2 linked regions of the Lytechinus pictus genome follow. The protein of the gene in region 1 interacts with the protein of each later gene in a pairwise test. Links are inferred from orthologs where the notes say so. Each region holds a gene or a part of one and is shown on either strand. Other genes may lie near its edges.

What was found.
Region 2: the proteins of histone-lysine N-methyltransferase EZH2-like (region 1) and histone deacetylase complex subunit SAP18-like interact in binary tests that used the Drosophila melanogaster proteins (3 or more experiments, as listed by UniProt). The link is inferred for Lytechinus pictus from reciprocal best matches to the Drosophila melanogaster genes E(z) and Bin1.

Annotation. Positions count from the first base shown.
Region 1 is NC_087245.1:20,675,635-20,686,704, forward strand, and holds the start of histone-lysine N-methyltransferase EZH2-like, read left to right. Parts: upstream 1-6,927; 5' UTR 6,928-7,021; intron 7,022-9,904; 5' UTR 9,905-9,924; coding exon 9,925-10,092; intron 10,093-11,070. UniProt on the Drosophila melanogaster protein: Polycomb group (PcG) protein. Catalytic subunit of the Esc/E(z) complex, which methylates 'Lys-9' and 'Lys-27' of histone H3, leading to transcriptional repression of the affected target gene.
Region 2 is NC_087248.1:29,151,642-29,162,001, reverse strand, and holds the start of histone deacetylase complex subunit SAP18-like, read left to right. Parts: upstream 1-5,310; coding exon 5,311-5,355; intron 5,356-6,222; coding exon 6,223-6,329; intron 6,330-8,713; coding exon 8,714-9,044; 3' UTR 9,045-10,360. UniProt on the Drosophila melanogaster protein: Involved in the tethering of the SIN3 complex to core histone proteins. Interacts with bicoid (bcd) to repress transcription of bicoid target genes in the anterior tip of the embryo; a process known as retraction.

The sequences.
Region 1 (11,070 bases):
GTTATATAATAACACAACAATCCTACCACCTAACGATTTTTTCCCACGCTTGTTGTGCTCGCTTGTACAATAATGAGATATACCAGCATTGTTATTGAAGGGCAATTAAGACGTATAGACTTATCTTTGATGTTAATAATTCTGGTGACAAATAAACACTTCTATTGTGAAACAAGGGTGATGTTAGGTTCACCGCCTTTACTCATACATTAAAAACAGGATGATTTCAGAAGCAATAATTCTGCAGATTTGATGAAGGGATTAATGTTCATACCATGTCTAATTATTTTACGGGGTGCGCAGTTTGCTCACTTCCTTCACTTCAGTGCTACGCCGCGGCGCGCCGGCGATGTAGTATATTTATCATTGAAGAACTATCGGAAACAAGCAATATTAAATCCAATATACACAGATGCAGAAATAAGATCACAATGGATTTAGAATGTTCCACCCCTCTTTTGTTGATCTTATGAGACAAAAAAAAAACAAGCTATCATGATTCTAAGATGATGATCCAAACTTCCAAAGTAATTACGTGCACCTTCTTGCTCATACTCAGTGAGCTTAAGTGGACTTAAAATATAAGGGGAAAATCGGCTTTGATGAAAAATAAATCGCTTGAGCGCTTGCCCGCACTGTCATTCTTTTTGTTAATTCATTGTTGGCCTTGATTGAAAACCATTGATCACTTTTTTTGAAACAATGATTATGAAAAGATCACAAAATGATGAGTATATCACTGGAGACAATGTAACTAAGGCTTATTTAGCAAAATTTCCCTTTTGTTTCCATTATGATAAATGCCCCGATATCAAACTACATAAATTCCGATTGGCTATCTATCGAGTTTGTACTGATGAGAGGATAGGCAGTGATTGGTGAGAGATTTGGGGTAGGATAGAGGGAGAGAGAGGGAGACAGAAAGAGAGAGAGGGGGGTACAGAAGGGTGAAAGAGAGTTAGGAGAGAAGGGGAAAGATGGTAAAAGGGACAGATGTTTAAAGGAAAAGAGAAGAAGTGAAGCAAAATGACCGACGATGGAAAAAGGCAAAATCGAAAGATCAGAGAGGGAGAGAGAGAGGGGGGGGGGGGGGTTCAAAGAGAGAGTGAGAGATAGAAGGAACAAGACAGTGATGAGTGATGGGCCACGCAACGCCCTCTTGAAATTTTTTTGATTTAGCAAAGCAAACAATAATAGCCTAATGGCGAAGAAAAAGATTAATGATTAACCAATAAAATTGTTCAAAAAAATGTATACCACGGAGTGCTTTTGCAAGGAAGATCAAGACTGCTACCAGTGTAGAGAAAGCATGACAGTGAAACACGAATCGTGATTTCCTTTTTTGGCTTTAATCCCTAAAGCATTTACTGTATTCATGTAATCTAACTTCGGTAAAGAAAACATCAATCAAGTGACAGCGAAATTGTTTTTTATCCAATATATTAAAAAAGTAACATTTCACATGCAAGCTGCTTGCATGGGACTAACAACAAACAAATGACATTTATATTTAAAAAAAAAAATTCAAAACAAAAGTGATTAATAAACAAGTTAAGAATATGACATTAAGCAAAATCTCAGATCTTGAAATGTATGATTCATGACCATTTTATGCACTCGTATTTCTACGGTGTCAAATTTGTCTCAGAATGGTGCAGATGAGAGTCAAACATACACTCTTAAAAATGTTGGGCAACATACGGTCCACACAACAATTGGTTAAAACTTTATCCAATTCTGGGTAGTTTTACACCAATAATGTGTGCTTTGGGTGAAAACTACACAGTATTGGTGTAAAACTACCCAGAATTGGATAAAGTTTTAACCAATTGTTGTGTGGACCGTATGTTGCCCAACATTTTTAAGAGTGTAACGTGTATCGGATTATTGAATTTGGCTGGGACTGGCATGGCATCAGTTGAAAAATCATTTGATTCCTAGTCAAATTAAAAACTAGTCGCTTTGACTAGGAATTGACTCCCAGCTGGCGCCGTTCTGAGTCAAATTTGACACCGCAAGAAATAAGAGGAATATCTTTTTGTAATGTTATTAGATTGTGTCCTACTTTATCCGCTTTCAAGATGATTCCCACTCTCTCTTATGTAGGCCTGTACAGTGCGTCCCGCAAAAAAGGAAACACGTTTTCAGAGATAGATTTCACAATTATTAAATATGCTTTTACTATAAATTTGATACTCATGGCAAGATTGGAATCTCATCTCTAATTTGAAATCAACAGTTTAGCAAATCGCTCACGCATGAGAGATAATAAACAATACAAATATTGAGACATTTCATAAACGATTTGCGCAGAAACTCACACGTGAATCTGAATCCACTCTCATTAATTTTCAGGAATCAGTGAGAGGATCTTAACAAAAAATACAAAGAAATGAACTCGTCTTGCTCATTAATGCGTGAAGTGTTTGTCTCATGTTAGGTATCAAAATAAAGAGGAATAAATGAATCATAATTATGATTGTGTAACTAAATATCATAATTCGTTTGTATTTGAAGAATAAAGACATGGGAATCAGGGTTTCCTTTTTTGGGGGGACGCACTTAATAAAAAGGTGTTTTTTCTTTCTTTTCTTTATTTTTAACACGTTTTTCAGCAAAACTTAAACATTATTTTCTGACTTAAGACCTCATTACCCCATGGCTTCAAAATAAATCCCCCATTGGACGAGGACCTTGAATAAAGCTACTTCGGGATATTTTTTTATAAATAGGGGGTACTCCTCCTCCACCCATCCCCTCTCTGTCTCCCACTCTCTCTCTTTCTTATCTCACCAATTTTCGCTCTAGCACAAAACAAATAATTGCATGCCTGATTACTCCCCTCTACCTGAAAGCAAAGATCGTTTTCTATTCTTTGTTGTTGAATATAGGGAACCCATTAAGCTAAGTTAAATTAATATATTAAAGGGATACTCCGGGCTTTAGATATTTATATCTAAATAAACAGAGTAAAATTCATAGATCAATATGTCACGTTGTTATTATTTGTAATGATCTTAACCCTTTGATATTTTATAGTTTTAGACATACATTTATAACTGATTGTCATTGTTCCACTCGATTTTTATTAATTAATTCATTAATATCATTTCAGTGTTTTTTATCAGTGAATAAATTATACAATTAGTAGTTTTATAATTAGTAACTGTTCCCTTTGGATAACTTAGATATTTCAGTTTGATTCATATTATCATCTAAGTACCTATGTTTCCAAGCATTGTTATCTTTGACTTAGATTTTGACTTTATTTTCATGTATGATATGATGATTTATGTTGTTTATGTTTTCATCAGGTCATCGATGAAAAACAGTTTTATGCTGATCTTTTGTACCTGAATAAATATGTTCTAATAAATAAATAAATAAAAAGATGCTGAAATTTTATCAAAATCGGATAACAAATAACTGACGAAGTTATTCAAATTTAAAGATTTGCAATATTTTTGAAAACAGTTATGCATGTATTCATGAATATTCATTAGATGGGCTGATGATGTCACATCTCCACTTTCCTTTTTCTTATATGTTATTACATGAAATCATCTTTGTTTCATTTTCCATGCATGTGTAAATGGTGTGTCTCTATTATAATGAATTAAAGGAGAATGAAACCCTTGAAACCAGCAGAATCCATATCAAAGAGAAAAATCAAAGAAACATATTGTTGAAAGTTTGAGGAAGATTGAATGAATAATAAGAAAGTTATGAGCATTTGAATATTGAGATCACTAATGCCATGTAGTTCCTCCCATTGGCAATGCGACCAAGATCTGTGATGTCACACACGTACAACTCCCTCATTACTTTAGTACTTATTTCACTTATATTCTCACTTTTATAGAGTCTATCACAAGGTGAGGTGTTCTCCTTATGAGAGGACAAGTACAGAGGTTTCACAACATTATATCATTGATGAATCGTTTGTCATATGATTAGAATGAGCAAAAAGTGATGTTTTGGGGTATATTTTCACTGTCCAAAAGGGGAGAGTTGTTCATCTGTGACATCATAGATCTTGGTCGCATTGCCAATAGGAGGATCTCCATAGCATTAGTGATCTCGACATTCAAATGCTCATTACTCTTCTATTGCTAGTCCAATTTTACTCAAACTTTTGTTTATCTTATTCTTTGATTTTTCTGCTTTCACAAAAGCTTACTTGCTCCAAGAGTTTCGTTCTCCTTTAAGTTGCAGCTATAAATAACTAAAACACTTAATCAGTTGTCAATCGAATTGTTTTATTCTTGGTATACATTTTTTGAATAAACCTAATTTCATATAATGAAATACAAAAGAACAAGTGAGGATATGACATCATCAGTTAATTGCTCATTGAATACTCATGAAGACATGAATAAAAAAGTTTCACCGGAATAATGCAAATCTTTAAAATTCAATAACCTTGTTATCCGATTTTGATCAGCATTTTGCTTTGTGAATTTACTCTATTTATTGAGATATGAATATCTTCAGCATGGAGTATCCCTACTACTTCTTTGGCAAATAAAACCATTGCTAGTTTTGTGCAATTTAAAAAAAACATGGAATTCAGACATTGCGAGGAAAATCACCAAATTCATAGAGATGAAGGCTACATCTGGCAAATGCACTAGTGCGAGGTTAATTAGTATACTAACCTCGCACCATGCAAGAACCGCATTTGGCAGTGGATTTCATACTAGCGGGTCGCACGCGCGTGCTGCGACGCCAGTGCTTCCACTCTTGATGGAATCCAGGAAATCCCAGGAAGTTTTGCTATTTTTCAGGATTATTCCAGGAAGTGAGAAATTCCAGGAAGTTTTCCAGGAAGTTATCATTTTCGGGAATGATGTTATTTTCTGAATATTTTGTCAAAATCTATCACAAAATTTGATATTTTAAATTAAAATGTAAATGTTTGCTGCTCGCAACTCTTTATAAACTTTGCCCGTTACCTCATGTTTCGCCCCTCAAAGGTTTTGGCTCAATTAAGGCACTGGGCCCTATATTTCATTGTGTGTGTATAGAAGAGAATGGAAGACTGCAGACTATTCGGAAAATTCCAGGATATTTTGTAAAATTCCAGGAAGTTCCGTTTTGAAAAGTGGAAGCACTGAACAACGCCCTGGCGTCCATAACACACGACTTTTAGGCCCGAATTCTCAAAGGGTGGCTAACTTAGCCCGGGCTAACTTAGCCCGGTGCATGGGCTAACTAATCCCCTGTGGGCTAAGTTAGTCCACTGAGCATTTCATAAAGCGTGGGCTAATTAGCCCACCTGGCTAAGTTAGCCGGGTGTGCTAAATATTTAGCACACCCAGCTAACAGCCAATTAGCCCGGTGGGCTAAATCATGAACTGAAGCTACTGCTAGCATGCTCAGTGCAGCCTTGTTGATGCATGTATGTACTACAGTGTGCAGTATACCAGGTCCATGGCAGCTAGTACTCACATAGCAGCAAAATGGAGGGGGAAAGATGTGCCAACTGGCCCCGCAACTAGCAATACTCCGAGATTATACCTCCTCGAACTCATTCATGACAATGCTGCGATATTCTGTAATAAATGTACAGATATTCATACTTTAGGAAATTGGCAAAGCCGATCTCCTAATATAAATATAAAAGTTAGGTCCTACCTTAATTCTTGCTCGCCAGAAGATAGAATGTGGTCCAGCCGCTCAGAATCTCAGATAAATTGCACAAATCCGTGAATAGAAATATATACACTTCACAATTTCAAATACAGTAGATAAAGGGACAGATGTCACAAAATGTCTCGCGAAGTAATGAGCTCATTAAATATGCAGAGAATATAGACTTCGAATGAGTGGAAGTGACGGTAAGGAATAAGATTGGAAAATGCAGAGAAATAATTAAGTATAAGTTGATCCTCCACAAGATTTGATTCGATCCTCACTAGCAGCTGGATGAGATGGTCAGCATGAGTGGACAGGACGAAGGCAGAGAGTAGAGTGATGATGTGGTAGAGAAAACAAGTTGTTTTTACCAACATCAGAAAAGATGAGACAAAGAAATAAGCGCCAAAAAGGGAGGCAAAACAAAGTTGAAAAGAACAAAGAAGAGAGAAGCAGACTGTGAGAAAAGCAAACATGCAAGCATCTCTGTAGTGATGTTGGTTATACCTGCAAGTTCATTGCAATAAACAAGGAACAATGAAAGGATGTTTGCTCCAAGTCTAGGAACAAAAGAAAGGTTGTTTCTCAATATAAGAATGTGTTTGCCAAGTAGATTTGGACAGAAAATGAGTTGGCTTGCTCTGTGAATGTACAGTATTGTAGTACATACACATGGCGTGAACAAGTGAGAATATATGAAATTGGAAATAAAAGAAAGAATTTATATACATATACAGAATGTTGAAATATAAATGAAAATATATACAAGGAAAGAATATATAGATGTAGATATATAAAAAGATATAGTCAAGTCACTACAATACCATAGAAAAATGAAGAGGAGCAGCATGGGAGGCAGTTAATTAGAGCCAGTTTTTAACAGAAGTTTGGCCAAAAGTACACTCTGCCACAATTTCCGGCACCGTAAAAGGAGAAATTAAAAAAGATGCGTGTCACCGCCAAAAAGGAGTATATTGTGAGTGGAGGAGGAACACCCGGAGGAACACCCCAAAAATGGGGGTGGGCCTCCTCCACATCTGAGCGAATCCACAAAAATGATTCAGGAATCAGAAGATTGTGCCTACAGACTTCATACAAATAGTTAACCCATATGATGACGATTACGGATTCTACAATCAAGCAATAAGTGCTTTGGATTTCTTGGCAAGAGGAAGCTTGATTGGCATGTAATGAACCATTGGGTGGGCAAATACATCCTCCAGACATGCACAGTAGGCCTACAGTCCAAGCCCACCTCCTCCATGTCCATTGCATTGTGCTCTAGCGCCATCTCTTGTTGATTGCTTGCAGCAGCATCCGAGATCCCGCGTTGATCTGATTCTGAGTTTTCTTTTGTGGAAATTCAATCTATACTTGACGTTTGGTGAGTAGAGGATACATGTAGGTCTAGATATTGAGTTCTCATGAACCTTGCGTGGTCAGGTTATATAGATTCTGTATTATTTGCTCTGCAATAATCTTGATAATTATAAGAAGCGCTACATATTCACAATTCAGATTTTAATATTTCAGTCCCACTGCTATGTTTTTGTGTTGTGTGTGCTCCGACCTTAGCGGAGGAAGAACACAAGAGAGAGAGAGAGAGAGCTGCTGTCTTGAATTCATCAGTTCATTCACCTGCATCTGAGTCTGGAATTTCAAACCTTGAGAGACTTGAGTTGCAGTAAAAGCAGAGTAAAATGATGAGCTTACTATATTAGTGACTGTTTGCAGCGCGACTTCGTTAAAAAAAGCGAGCGCACGCGTGTAAGTACATAATTAATGGCACGCATTTCCAATTTAAATTAATCAGCCGAGATGCCCGATATTTGGGAAAGTGCCATATTTGGAAGGGTGCTGGGTGTCAAATTTCCCACCGTGGGGAAACCATGCGGCAGCCATTGCAGATTTTTTTTCCCGATAGATTGAACATGTGCGATATCGGCGGCCACTCCTAGTACCAGTGAGGTCCAAACATTAACATGTATGGACCTCATAGGCGACAATGCTTTAAAAACAGGTTAGAAGTCCTGCACCCAAGTATTTTTATGATATTAGTGATTATTACTCGAAAAATGCAAGCTTTGTCCTCATTTGTTTAGCATTTATTAAAAAATTACCCATTAACTATAATCCTACTCATACTTTAAATGTTATAAAATAAAGGGAAACTTACATTTAGGTCCTTTTTCGATCTTTTCTTGGCAGTCAGTCCGGTCCCGTCGAGTGCGATCAAAGCGGTACGAAGCTGATTTTCAGATCACGTGATACGAGTAGTCATCTTCTTCTTCTTCTTCTTCTTTCCTTGGTTGGCAACCAGTTAACCAAGGAAAGAAGAAGAAGAAGAAGAAGATGACTACTGATCACCTGATCGATCGACTATCCTTTTTTAAAGACCGCAACAATTATAAATTTTATTATAAAATATATATAGAATAAATAATTGCATGATATTATATATATTTCTACAATTAAAAATATTTTGTGATATGAATTTAATATTTGACGTAAAAATCGCTATTTAGCAAAATATTTATTAAAAAATAAAAACGCCTTGGACACAGTGCAAAAAACCTAACAATTTGGCCGCGTTCTTAACAACTATTGTAAGGGGCGCTCTATTTATAAATAAAAAAGAATGTACAGCTGTCTACCGCAACGTGGTTTGTCGCAAGATTTGGGACAAATCCGTGGGAATTCTTGAGAAAATACATCAAAAGAACTGGTGAGTACCGATTAAACATTATCAAAGTAGTAAATAGGTTATACATAACTTGTAGATATATATTTTAAATTGATATTGATGCTTAGTTCCAAGCTAGGGCGGCCCAAATGTGCGTGAGTGGAGTCCCAGTTTATTAACACGGGTAAGTATTGGGGTGTCGCCTAGAGTGATCGGCGGCAACATTTCCTGCGAAAATCACTGCCCCCTTTTGAGATTTTTTTTTTGGTCATCGATCTTAAGTTAAGGAGTCCAAAATTAGTGAGGGTCATAAGAATCTTTGAAAGTCAAAATCGTGGATTTTAGTTTTTACCCCTGGATGTAACCCTAGGAATAAATTTTTTGAGCAGTAACCTGGGTCTCGTGTGTGCAGTTTAATAGATCAGAGGGTAAGTTCATGTATCACATGCACGCAATAAATCCCTTCGAAAATGTACATGTACTTGTAGATTATTATTGCTGATGATAGCACTACTTTGAAAGTCATTTATAGCAACAGCAAATTGAAGAAAAAATAGAAAAATTATATGAGCCTTGAACGAAACCAGCAGTACAAGCCTTTGTTCATTTGAACAAATGGTATACCAAAGTCTGTACAATGAAAAGACTGGACACTTTGCGTAACGCTTTGCATCGATTTGCATGTAAAATAGTTTAAGTGCCTAGTCTTTCCCTCGTAGTGTCTTCGATATGAATATCGCCCACTCTCTTTATGCGAAAAATTCCTATACCCAAAGTGAAATCGGGCCCCCGTAAATATCATTAAAAGAATATTTTATATTTAGCACTCAAAACTAAAGAGGAGGAAAAAGGGACACAATATCCCTCAGTAAGTTCAGAAAGGTGAGGTAATGAGTAGACTCTAGTAAAATGTAAGTTGTCCATTCGAAGCATAAAACAGTAAACAGCCGATCATACACAAAAGTGCATTGACTTGGCTGCGTTCTCAAAGCCTCTTTGTACATTGAGATCTATGTTGAGGCACCATCACCCCATCTTATTTTGATAACAATTATCACCCCCACTTTCCAAATGAAATGATTGCCAGCAAATTTTTATATAGACTTCATTTTGATACAGATTATTTCTAACTTGCCTCAGCAGCTTGAGACATTGATTTCTAAGCAGGGGCATCTCGAACCGTTGCCCAATTAAATGGGGGCTAATATTTAGACCATATGGACAAGTGTGCAAGTCGGACTGGGCTAAACTCCATATTCTTTTGCAGGATATTTTAACCAGACATGGCAAAATTTCAGGCAAATAATAAGGATTAATACCAGGTGCCACGAGACACCCTTCAAGATTGCAATTGATTTCTAGAACTGTTGTGGTCAGGCAGTGACAGTCGAGTGTTGCAGCACTAAATGATTGCCGATGGCAAATTAACGCATTTGCTCATTAGTTGGTTCAAAAATATTTTGTTAATGTCAGTGGCAAATTTGAAGATAAAATCCTACACCGCATACCATTTCCTGTAAAACTATTTGTACTTTTCAAAATTTTCTTTCATTTCAATTCATGTGTCTTCATTTTTGGTGACAGGTCATAGGTCAAATGTCATCATGGCATCAAACGCTACAAGGTCAGCAACCTCCAGCCCGGCCAAGAGTGAACGGAGTGCAAGTGAAAAGAGTGAAAAGAACACCTTCACAGATCTGAAGTCAATAGTGAAGTCCGAGTACATGAGCTTGGTGACTAACAGACGTTTCAAGAGAGCTGGAGAAATTAGGGTAAGACTTGGAGATTTTCTTATCATATTCTTACAGCTAGCCATGAGAGAATGAATACTACCGTGTGAAATAGACAAATATGAATACTTATTTAGATTTAATCCCAACTTTGAGTTTAATAAGATTATTTACCATTGCTCTCCAGGCTCATAAGTGACAAAGTAAATTATTTTCTAGAAACCAATTAGGGCCACGTCATGCCTGAATTTCTTCTTTCTGGATTCTGACAGCATACAGTATTATATTCAGATCTCTGCATGTTTCCAGTACATCCTGTAATAAAGTCATAGGTAATTTAGTGGACTTTGATATTCTTATCAATTTTGACTTGATAGATTTAGCCTACATCTTGTATAACAGTAATGATAAGGGTTACAAACTCTACAAGATGGAGCCTATTCTGGCTAAAATGTGTACCCTTTTTTCAAGGCAATAAATGAAACTATGTTAAATGTTTAACCCTCTATACTCTCGCAAATTCGGATGAACCAAATTGAGATATGAAAATAGAGGGTGATTCACTAATCGTTAAAAAAAAATATAAGAAGCTTTAGACCAATAAAGTCTCATGAAAATTGATTTTACACTGTACCTCTCTTACAATCGATTTTTAATTCTCAGGGAATCATCTCACTGGAATTAATTATGCTCAAATTTATTATATTCTATCAAAATTTACCGCTTTTAGTATAAGTCGCTGATCCAGACCAGTCCCGTGGCTACTTCACAAAATTATGATTTTATGAATGGCTAAAATAGCCTGCGCCAGGCTTGGGCTATTTGGGTGCTGCTTTTATTAGCACCAGCACCACGTGCCCGAGTTTGTTAATGGGTGATTGTAAAAGTAGTGTGACTCTGCTACAGTTACCAAGCACAATTTATATTGAATGGTGCAGACTATTTTTTAGCACGGGCCTGGTGCGGACCAAAAAAATCATGAGTCACTGAAAACGGTATTAGATAGTTTCCTCTTGGCCT
Region 2 (10,360 bases), on another chromosome or scaffold:
AAGCGAGTGAAGTAAGCGAGAAAAAAACTTTTCGTGCAAATCTAAATTTGAGATAGATATCTTAACTTACACTTTTCCTTTTCTTTTCATTAATTCCCTTCATTTCTTTTTTATCTTGGTTGTAGAACTTTCGGGGGCCCCTAGGCCTAACCCTTCCATCGTGTACCCCCAGTGCAATATCAGCAGGTGGGTCTCGATAACTCTGGATATTTAGCAATTAGACCTATTTATAGAAAAACATAACGTTAATGTTTTGACCCCTTCCCCCCCAAAAAAGGAAAAACAATTATAAACTAAGTTATATACATCCCCCTTTTCTCATTTCGCTTTTTATTTTCTCTATTCCCTCCTTATTTTTTTGGGGGGGAGGGACCTTTTCGGGGGGCACCGCCCCTAGCTACGCGCCTACCAGATGAAGAGGCGAGCGAGCAAAACCTTTGTCACTTATATTACAAATATCAATTTTGCAATAGATTTTGACATAACATTCGGAATTATTCTCGCATGCATTTTTCTTTCCTTCTGCTTTTTTATGGCCTTTTATTTCTCTTCCCTTTCTCTTTCTGTCTTTCTTTCTTTCTTTCTTTTCCTTCCTTCATTCCTTTTCTCTTATCGCGTTTTTTTTTTGGTGAAATCCACTGGACCGGGGATCAAGGGCCAGCCTGCATGCCCCCGGCGGTTTACGCCTCTGACGTGGATGTAAGCTATATATACGCATGATCTTAATCTTCATTATGATTCAAACTATATAGAGGCGGATCCAAGATTTTCCAAATTAAGTAGGGGGGGGGGCGGGGTGAATTTTCTCAAGTAAAATTTGACAACTCCCAAAAAAGGTTCTTACTAAAAAAAAAAAAACGGTCATTATATTGTCTCGCGTAAAGTTTGACAAGTTAAAAAAAAAATGGTCACTCAAAATGAAAGTCATTTTGTCCGCGTAATATTCGGCAAGCCCCCCCCCCCCACAAAAATAAGAAAAGGGAAAGTCATTTTGTCCACGTGATATTTGGCAACCCCCCAAAAAAAATAAAATAAAAAAAGGTTTTAACTATAGCAATGATCGAAGGTCATTTTGTCTCGCGTAAAATTTGACAATTTTTTAATAAAGTTGTCACTAAAAAAAAAGGTCACTTTTTCCACCGTTATATTTGGCAAGCCCCCACCCCCATAAAAAGTTTGTCCCTAAAAGTGATGTATAGAAAGTCATATTGTTAATTTGTTCCCAGTAAAATTTGACAAGCAAAAAAAAGGCAAAAAAGAGAAAAGAATATGAACGAAATATCCCCATTACAAATAATGCTGTGATTCTCATAAGGGAGGGGGGGGGGCACATAACTAGTATTAACAAAATATTTAATTCCAAAATGTTTACTATAAATCTCAAAAGGGGGAACGGGCAGAAATGCTCACCCCAACCCCCCCCCCCCCCGCCACTGATTCCAATCAATAATGACTTTTCTCTGCAATACTGATGCTTTGAAATCAAGATACTGAAGATTGATACGCTTAACATAAATTATGAACGTCTGACAAAAAGATAACCAACCGATCACCTGACCGATCAGCTGACCAGTACGCGTATCACTTCGGAGATGATCACTCGTCGCAGCTGTGTGGAACGCTCACCCAAAATCAACAAAAAGGGCCTGAAATGTAAGTTTAACAATAATCGATTTTAATTTCAACTATTTTTACAACTAAATAAAGGTTAGCCGTCCGAATGAAAGGTATATCGGATAACTCTAACTTGTATTAAGGTGTACATTTACCAAAGTCTTGGGGTGGAAATCAGAACAGCATTGTCCAACCCATAATTTGGGTAATGTCGCCTATGAGGTCCATACATGTTAATGTTTGGACCTCATTGGTACTAGGAGTGCAAGCTATATTCCTTTCTCTTATTTAAATTATAATTTTATAGTGTAAATGCATCGTTAGCAACAACAAAAAAATGAAAGAAATGAAGGGGAACTTACATTTTCATGGCTTTTTCCTGATTTTCTGGGCAGTTGCTCTTCACTTCTGACTCGCGATCGAAGCTGATATGAAGATCACGTGATTCGCGTTCTCGTCAGCTGATCGGTTGGTTATTCTTTTCGTCAGACGTTAATAATATATATTTTATAATGCTAGCATTCATCGCTAATTTAGGTGAAAGAGATTGAAGTTAAACAGCGCCAGGTCGGAATCATAATTATTTTGGAAGAGTGTATTTATACACTCGATCTCATACCTGACGTAGACGGCGCTATTCAACAAATGCACAATCTTCAATATAAAAAATAAAACAGAAAGAACGCCTTGAACACATGCCAAAATGCAATGATTTCTCCGCGGCATTAACAACTATCGTAAAGGGCGCTCCATTTATTAATAAAGATGGATGTATAGCTGTCTATGGCGACAAAATTTGCCGCAAATATTTACGAAGAATTGTGAGAAATGGTCTGAAAATGCAACAAAAGAACCGGTGAGTACCGATTAAACATCAATTTATTTAATAGAACATATTTCATGACTAGAGTTTAACAATTTCTAGATAACATTGCTTAGTTCTAAGCTAGGGCGGCCCAAATGCGCGTGAGTGGAGTCCCAGTTTATTAGCACGGGTAAGTATTGGGGTGTCGCCTAGAGTGCATATTACTGCGTTCTAAAACAAATTCGTACCGTAAGACTTCCGCAATTCAATTTCACAGAGCAATACATAGAACAAGATTGCAAAAACAAGGCGAAAAATCCAACTTTTACCTAATTATCTCTAAAAATGACAGAAAATGCTTAAAATATCATATAACATAGTTTTGTATTAACAATTGATATATTTTCTAACGGAAATATGGGCCTGATTTGCCGAATTTCAATCTCGTCCACTCCTTCGATCGAATGATGAGGTGTGGTGTATTGTGGGTGATCGTCGACGGCTAGTTCTCAAGGTACCCGTGCGCGAGGTTTACCGTGAGTAGAGCCGTCGATCGGCAGCGCATCGATAGAACTTGATGAGCGTCACATTATGAACGCGAGCATATTATTATTGGAAAGTGCCATGGAACATGCAGCTAACAAGAAAAAATAAAATAAGTTATCAAACACGAATTTATTACCAACATCTGCTCAGATTCGATATAAAAAAAAAGCAAATAATACTTAGAATTTGCTCATGATATGATATAAGAAGAAAAAAATCACAAAAATTTGTTCTTACATCATTATAATCAAGGATATCTTTACCCGTCCGGCGCGCGTCCGGAATCATGATGTAATTTGTCGCGCACGAAAATAATTGTTTTTCGTGGAGGGGTATGCGGCAAGTGCGATGCAAAGAAAATGGTTGGTAAATATAAAATAATTTTATCATATTCATAATTTTCATAATATTTGGAATAGCAAGTGTGAATTTTTCTTGATTGTATTTCCTCTAGTTGTCATTTTTAAAGCACTGAAATAAAGGTGTCCGGCAATAGGATACACTGCCATATGTGTAGTGTATGATGGGGTGTCCAAACTTCGCTTCGCTTCGCGGACCTTTCAAACATATTCTTCAGGCTTAAATTTGTTCACAAAATATTCACAATTTATGCAAAACCAATTTAATAAATAATAATTACCACATTGACGGCAAGATCGTAAACTATAAAATCATTGACAAAAATGTGAAATAGGTCAAACTCAAACTAAAAAGGACAAGGCCAGGCGGTTTCGCCGGTATTGCGATCTCAAAATTCTATTCCGATCGACGAATGCGCGCTGTGCTGGAAAACCGTTCTGAAAAAGTATGACCTAACTTCGCGGACCAAAGTTTTTGAGGAGATTTAAAAAAACTCAAGCTCAAAAGGAGAGATATTTATATATCAGATTGACGACAAAATGCTAAGTAATTAGTCAGTACCACATTGAACTCACATTTTTGATGATATCTGCTTGCAAAATGATGATATTGTGATGCTTGTTGAGGATATCAGATTTCTTCGGAACTGGGCGTTAACGGTGACAAATTTGCTGATCTTTTGTCAATATTTTCATGAATACTGACCTCATCCTGAAGGAACTTACACCAAAAGGTAATTTTTTTAGGTCGCTTTTCACGTTGATGATGTCAGATTTTAAAGGAGAATGAAACTCTTGGAGCAAGTTAGCTTTTGTGAAAGCAGAAAAATCAAAGAATAAGATCAACAAAAGTTTGAGTAAAATAGGACTAGCAATAGAAGAGTTATGAGCATTTGAATGTCGAGATCACTAATGCTATGGAGATCCTCCCATTGGCAATTAAATGCGACCAAGATCTATGATGTCACAGATGAACAACTCTCCCCTTTTGGACACTGAAAATATACCCCAAAACATCTATTTTTGCTCATTCTAATCATATGACAAACGATTCATCAATGATATAATGTTGTGAAACCTCTGTACTTGTCCTCTCATAAAGAGAACACCTCACCTTGTGATAGACTCTATAAAAGTGAGAATATAAGTGAAATAAGTACTAAAGTAATGAGGGAGTTGTACGTGTGTGACATCACAGATCTTGGTCGCATTGCCAATAGGAGGATCTACATGGCATTAGTGATCTCATTATTCAAATGCTCATAACTTTCTTACTATTCATTCAATCTTCCTCAAACTTTCAACAATATGTTTCTTTGATTTTTCTCTTTGATATGGATTCAGCTTGTTTCAAGGGTTTCATTCTCCTTAAAGGATATTGGCTATTTTTTTAGATAATGACCGTCCGCGAAGTTTGGACTCATTGCCATACTCGACTCCTACTTCCTAACGAGTAACGTTAACGTTAGACTAGTCTCAAACACGGGTTGGTCGTTGACGTTGGATGAGTGCGCTGCATTGGGCTTCCGCTTGGGGTGTTGTTTCGCATTAATTGCGATTGATCGGCGCTAAAGCAGTTTCGCACTGCCACTGGCCGAATTTCAGGGAATTTTTTTCAGCATGTTTCCGATTCCCCAAATAAAAAGGGCACAAATAATAATCGGTTGCAGCTACCTCAAGTGAGGTTCGTGCAGGCTCCACTCCACTTCACTACCGCTACACTACGCTCCATCTACCTGAACCTCAATGTGGTGAACTCGCTCTGATACTTTGAGTGACAAAGGTGGGAGAAAATGCATGTTTATTTGTAAAAATCCTACACCGAAATGAGCTTAAAAATAATAAGAAGCTAAATTTCTTACTTTTCATCCTAATTTCACTCCATATCCATCCTCCTGTTAGCCGCAAAATTGGTTATTTAGAGCCAGCATCGAGTTCCTCACTCTTATAAATAATTCGCTGCTGATTTGAAAACATCGCATCCGCATGCGTGAGGGTCTGAGTTGCGACTTGACCTTTGAGAGCCAAGTTGTATGATGAATAGTATCAGAAAATATAGCATTTGTCCCCAAGAACAAGAGAAAATAAGCCAAACATTGCCAACTTTATTTCACCACACAGAGAGTACTAACAGAGAACAAGGATATCATTGTGAATCACTTTGAGTAGTCGTAGATTGATAAAGCGCTGTATAGAGTCTAAAAGCTTTATTATAACTATTATCATAAACTTGATCATTGAATGAGTGAGGCCCATCGTGATCAGGAATGGCTGTATTATTTTCAGCTCGATCTTGACAGGCAAATGGATCTACCGGTACTGTGAGTGACTGAGGGTGATGTGAGAAAATGAAAGGGTCAGGCTCTTGGGGATAATGAATCACAGTAATGAATTATTTTGATACATTTCAAAAGTTCATAAAGTTTTGATAAATCATGTAAATTTGATAATTGTATTGCTGAACATCTGAAGTCGGAGGTTAGACTGGCTTTGGATTCAGTCTATGCTCACTTGCGTAATGAGCTACTTGTATACTCAGGGATTTAGCTATGGTGCAACTCAAATGACAGCATCATCGGTCAATAGCTTCAAGACGAAGCTAGACAAGTTTTGGTCTTCGTTGCATTATGTCCACCCATGGGAACAGTGACCTTTTTCACTGCATGTTACAGCACACAGACTCAGAATGAGAAATTTAATACCCTAGATAGGAAGACAACATACAAGATTGACCTGGAAACTTGTCTGCAGAAACAACTGTATTTTTCCAGTAGATCCGGTGTAAAGGTATAAAATACGTCATTGCCTCATTGGATAAATAAACATTCCATACACCCGTTAAAGTAATAGCCTCACTCTTCATTCTTGGTGTATTCTTTTATCTCCTCCTTTTCCTAGACCTGTCCACTTCTTCTGAGGGTGTTCTGTAATAACAATCGTCACCATCAGGAACACGAGTTTTCTCGAGGAACAGTCCCAGCCAACGAACTCCAGATCTACACATGGTAAGTTGGTTGTAGAGGTTTGGTGGTCGAGTGGTCTCTGAAGCACCTTAAAAGTGCGTGGTACCTACATGTATATGCCTTTGATCAAGGCATTTTATAATCAACAATGCTGCTTTATGGTCTGTAAAAAATAAATGGAAATAGAAAAGTAGCATAAAAGGAACATGCTGAAGCTTTTCGACATGCGGTCATCCGAGTAAAACCTGCCCGTTAAGCCAAACATCAAAATTAAACAACTAAATAAACCCTAATCCTTATATTTACATCATTCTGAACCAAAAACTCAATCCAAACTCTAACCCATGCCCCTTGAGATATTAAATCCGGAGCAAATGTCGCAACAGCAAATGTGTCACCAATATATCCCCAATGAATGTCAAACATTTTTGAGTTGTGTTCTCCTACCACCTTTTTCGTTGCGACTATTACAGAATGTTTTTCCTGGTATCATGCTTAGTTTGATTGGGGTAATGGGAATTGTTGTCCTGTGCTTTTGCACCGGAATCATGTGCACAAAAGTTTGTCCGCGTACCATTTATACTTATTTTTATTGTCTGAGGAGTACTTTTGCCAAGATTTGCCTTTTACTGTTTTTTGTCTCACCTGCATAGCAGAGTGAGACTATAGGCGCCGCTTTTCCGACGGCGACGGCGGCGGCGTCAACACCAAATCTTAACCTGAGGTTAAGTTTTTGAAATGACAGCATAACTTAGAAAGTATATGGACCTAGTTCATGAAACTTGGCCATAAGGTTAATCAAGTATTACTGAACATCCTGCCTGAGTTTCATGTCACATGACCAAGGTCAAAGGTCATTTAGGGTCAATGAACTTAGACCATGTTGGGGGAATCAACATCAAAATCTTAACCTAAGGTTAAGTTTTTGAAATGTCATCATAACTTAGAAAATATATGGACCTAGTTCATGAAACTTATACATAAGGTTAATCAAGTATCACTGAACATCCTGCTTGAGTTTCACATCACATGACCAAGGTCAAAGGTCATTTAGGGTCAATGAACTTTGGCCAAATTGGGGGTATCTGTTGAATTACCATCATAACTTTTAAAGTTTATGGATCTGATTCATGAAACTTGGACATAATAGTAATCAAGTATTACTGAACATCCTGTGCAAGTTTCAGGTCACATGATCAAGGTCAAAGGTCATTTAGGGTCAATGAACTTTGGCCAAATTGGGGTATTTGTTGAATTACAGCCATAAATTTGAAAGTGTGTTGGTCTAGTTCATAAAACTTGGACATAATAGTAATCAAGTATCACTGAACATCCTGTGCGAGTTTCAGGTCACATGATCAAGGTCAAAGGTCATGTAAGGTCAAAGAACTTTGGCCACGTTGGGGGTATTTGTTGAATTGCCATCATATCTCTATAAGGGTGCGTTTATCCGCCACTTTTTCACCCTAGAATCATGATCTGAATCATGATTCAAATCATGATTCTGCAGAATCACGATTGCGTTTAGTCGAAATTGAATATAATCATGATTAGAATCACAAACATGAAACACGAAAAAAGGGGCGTTTGGAAAGACGTTTCTGCAGAATCACGTACGAAAATGTTCGAATAAACGATATCGTGATTTGAATCATGATTATATGACCTCACTGTGTCGTCGGGCTACGGCTTTCGGTTTGACTCTTGCCAAGCTTATGCTCATAGTATGTACATGATTACTCTGCATGCATTTCTTGTCATGTTCAAGTTCTGTGTTGGTCTTCGCATCGTCCACTACTTTTCATTTTTTGGTCATGTCTTCAACTTCAAGTTCTAGTAAATTAATTAACTGGAGACAATGATGAGTATAGAGTGTCAATATTAAATTGGATCTACGCTGAAATTCACTTCCGAACACCATTTTGGATTAACTAACAAGATGAATAGAAGCATATGGACCCTATATGATAGAAGTAAACAAAATTAGGTTGAATTCTGGAAGCAAAAGATTTTTTCGAGAGCCGAAACACGTGCGAAAAACTTCCTCTGTCAAACTGCGCACTAGTGATGCGCACTGGATTGGCCCGAATCTGAGGAGAAACAGCATTGGAATGACGGTCGTCTAAACGCTGATTCTGTGATATCGTGATTCATGTTTGTGTTTTGAATCATGATTCAAATCATGATTCAAATCATGATTCTGGCTTGAGGTCGCATAAACGCAGCCTAAGTGTATTGGTCTAGTTCATAAAACGTGGAAATAAGAGTAACCAAGTATCACTGAACATCTTGTGCGAGTTATAGTAGTTTTCAAAATCAGCACTGCTGCTATATTGAATCGCGTGATGCAGGTGAGACGGCCAGAGGCATTCCACTTGTTTTTCTTGTATCCCACTTACACTATATGATCCTTTTTTTTTTCATAGGATGGATGCCACTTTGAAAGAGCTATCTAGCCTAGTGAAGGAAGTCAACCCCGATGCACGGCGGAGGGGGACGTACTTTGACTTCGCCATCGTCCACCCGCACCAGAGGCGCCAACAAGCCTACCAGATGAGGGAGATCGGGATGACCTGCTCAGGACGCAAGGGACCCGATGATTCCGTGACCCTGTCGGCGCAGAATTTCGTCATCGGCGATTATATCGATATCGCCATCACCTTGCCTCCGAGGGGCGGGCTCGGAGAACGGGGAGGAGGAGGGGGGATGGGAGGCGGCGGGATGGGGATGGGAAGAAGAGGAGGTTGGGGGCGGTGATAGAAGTAAGGCTACATGTTCTAGGTAGTAAGTCAGAATGAGATTGATTCACAGGGGGGGGGGGTGAATTTGAGATGGTGTGGGGGAAGAGTTTGAAAAAATTGTGGGGGGGGGGAGGTCTTCAACCCTGGATAGACTTGGAAACTGAAGGATGCATGGTACAGTATATTTTCAAGAACTGGCAAACGTCACATATGAACCACCTAATTCAAAGTAAGCTATTGAAGATTTATACAATTTTGCCTACCAATAGATCTTTTTCCTTTCTATCCCTGATGAAATGTCCATATTGATTGAATCAATATGAAGACTTGGAGACTTGGCGTCACATTAGTAGGCTGTCTGACATAAAATCACAAGTTAGATCACAGTTTAAGTCAAACCAGAAAACGGGCTATCTGTTTGTACACAGGTTTCATGGTATGCTGATGCACAGCTTGGGAAATTATCAGTAGAACATACCATTTGGGACCTTAGTAGGAAAGTGGTCTAATAATTATATCCAAACTGTACAGCATGATGTAAGTGGACCACAATTTTTGGAACCCATCCATGTTATATGTAACATATCTTTTTTGCAAAAGCCTTCTGGTTATTAAGGGCAACTTGGAAAAAAATAAGCTATGTCATGTTGCTCTATTTTAGATTGTATGTTACATTGAAAAAAACATTATTAATACATAATAAATGGTTATATTATTAAATTTCAATGTAGAAATTTGCTTTCAGGGCCCCGGTCTTACAATAAGTTGTGATTGATTCAGTCAGTCAATCAATCTTAACTGTGAAACTCTCCCCGACATCACAGGGGCATATTTCAAATAGTTATGTACCCATTCCAAATGAAGATATCGGTGACTGGTGAATTTCAGAGTTGAGATCGTAAAACACTTGTTCATGTGTGATAGTCACATCAGTCACGATCAGGAGCCCGTTGCAGAAAGAGTTGCAATCAATCGCAACTCTAACTATCTATTGCAACTTGATTTTCAACCAATCAACAGCGCGCATTTGGGACTTGCAATTGATTTTTTGGCTTGCGTTTAAACGCAACTCTTTCTGCAACGGACCCCTGAATTTCTTCTTAATTTCTAGAATTTCTTTCACTTGTTAAATGAAGAATTATAATGACATTGACGGCTTCCCATACATAGGCGTGATGAGATCGATCACAACTTTTCGTAAGACCTGGTTCAGGTGTCTATACTCTAGTCTGCTGCTACACAAAAATTCCTAATTTTCATTGTACCCGTTTGATAAAAACAGGTCTGTTCTCCTGTAGACATTAATTTGCATTCAATCGATGAAAATCATAC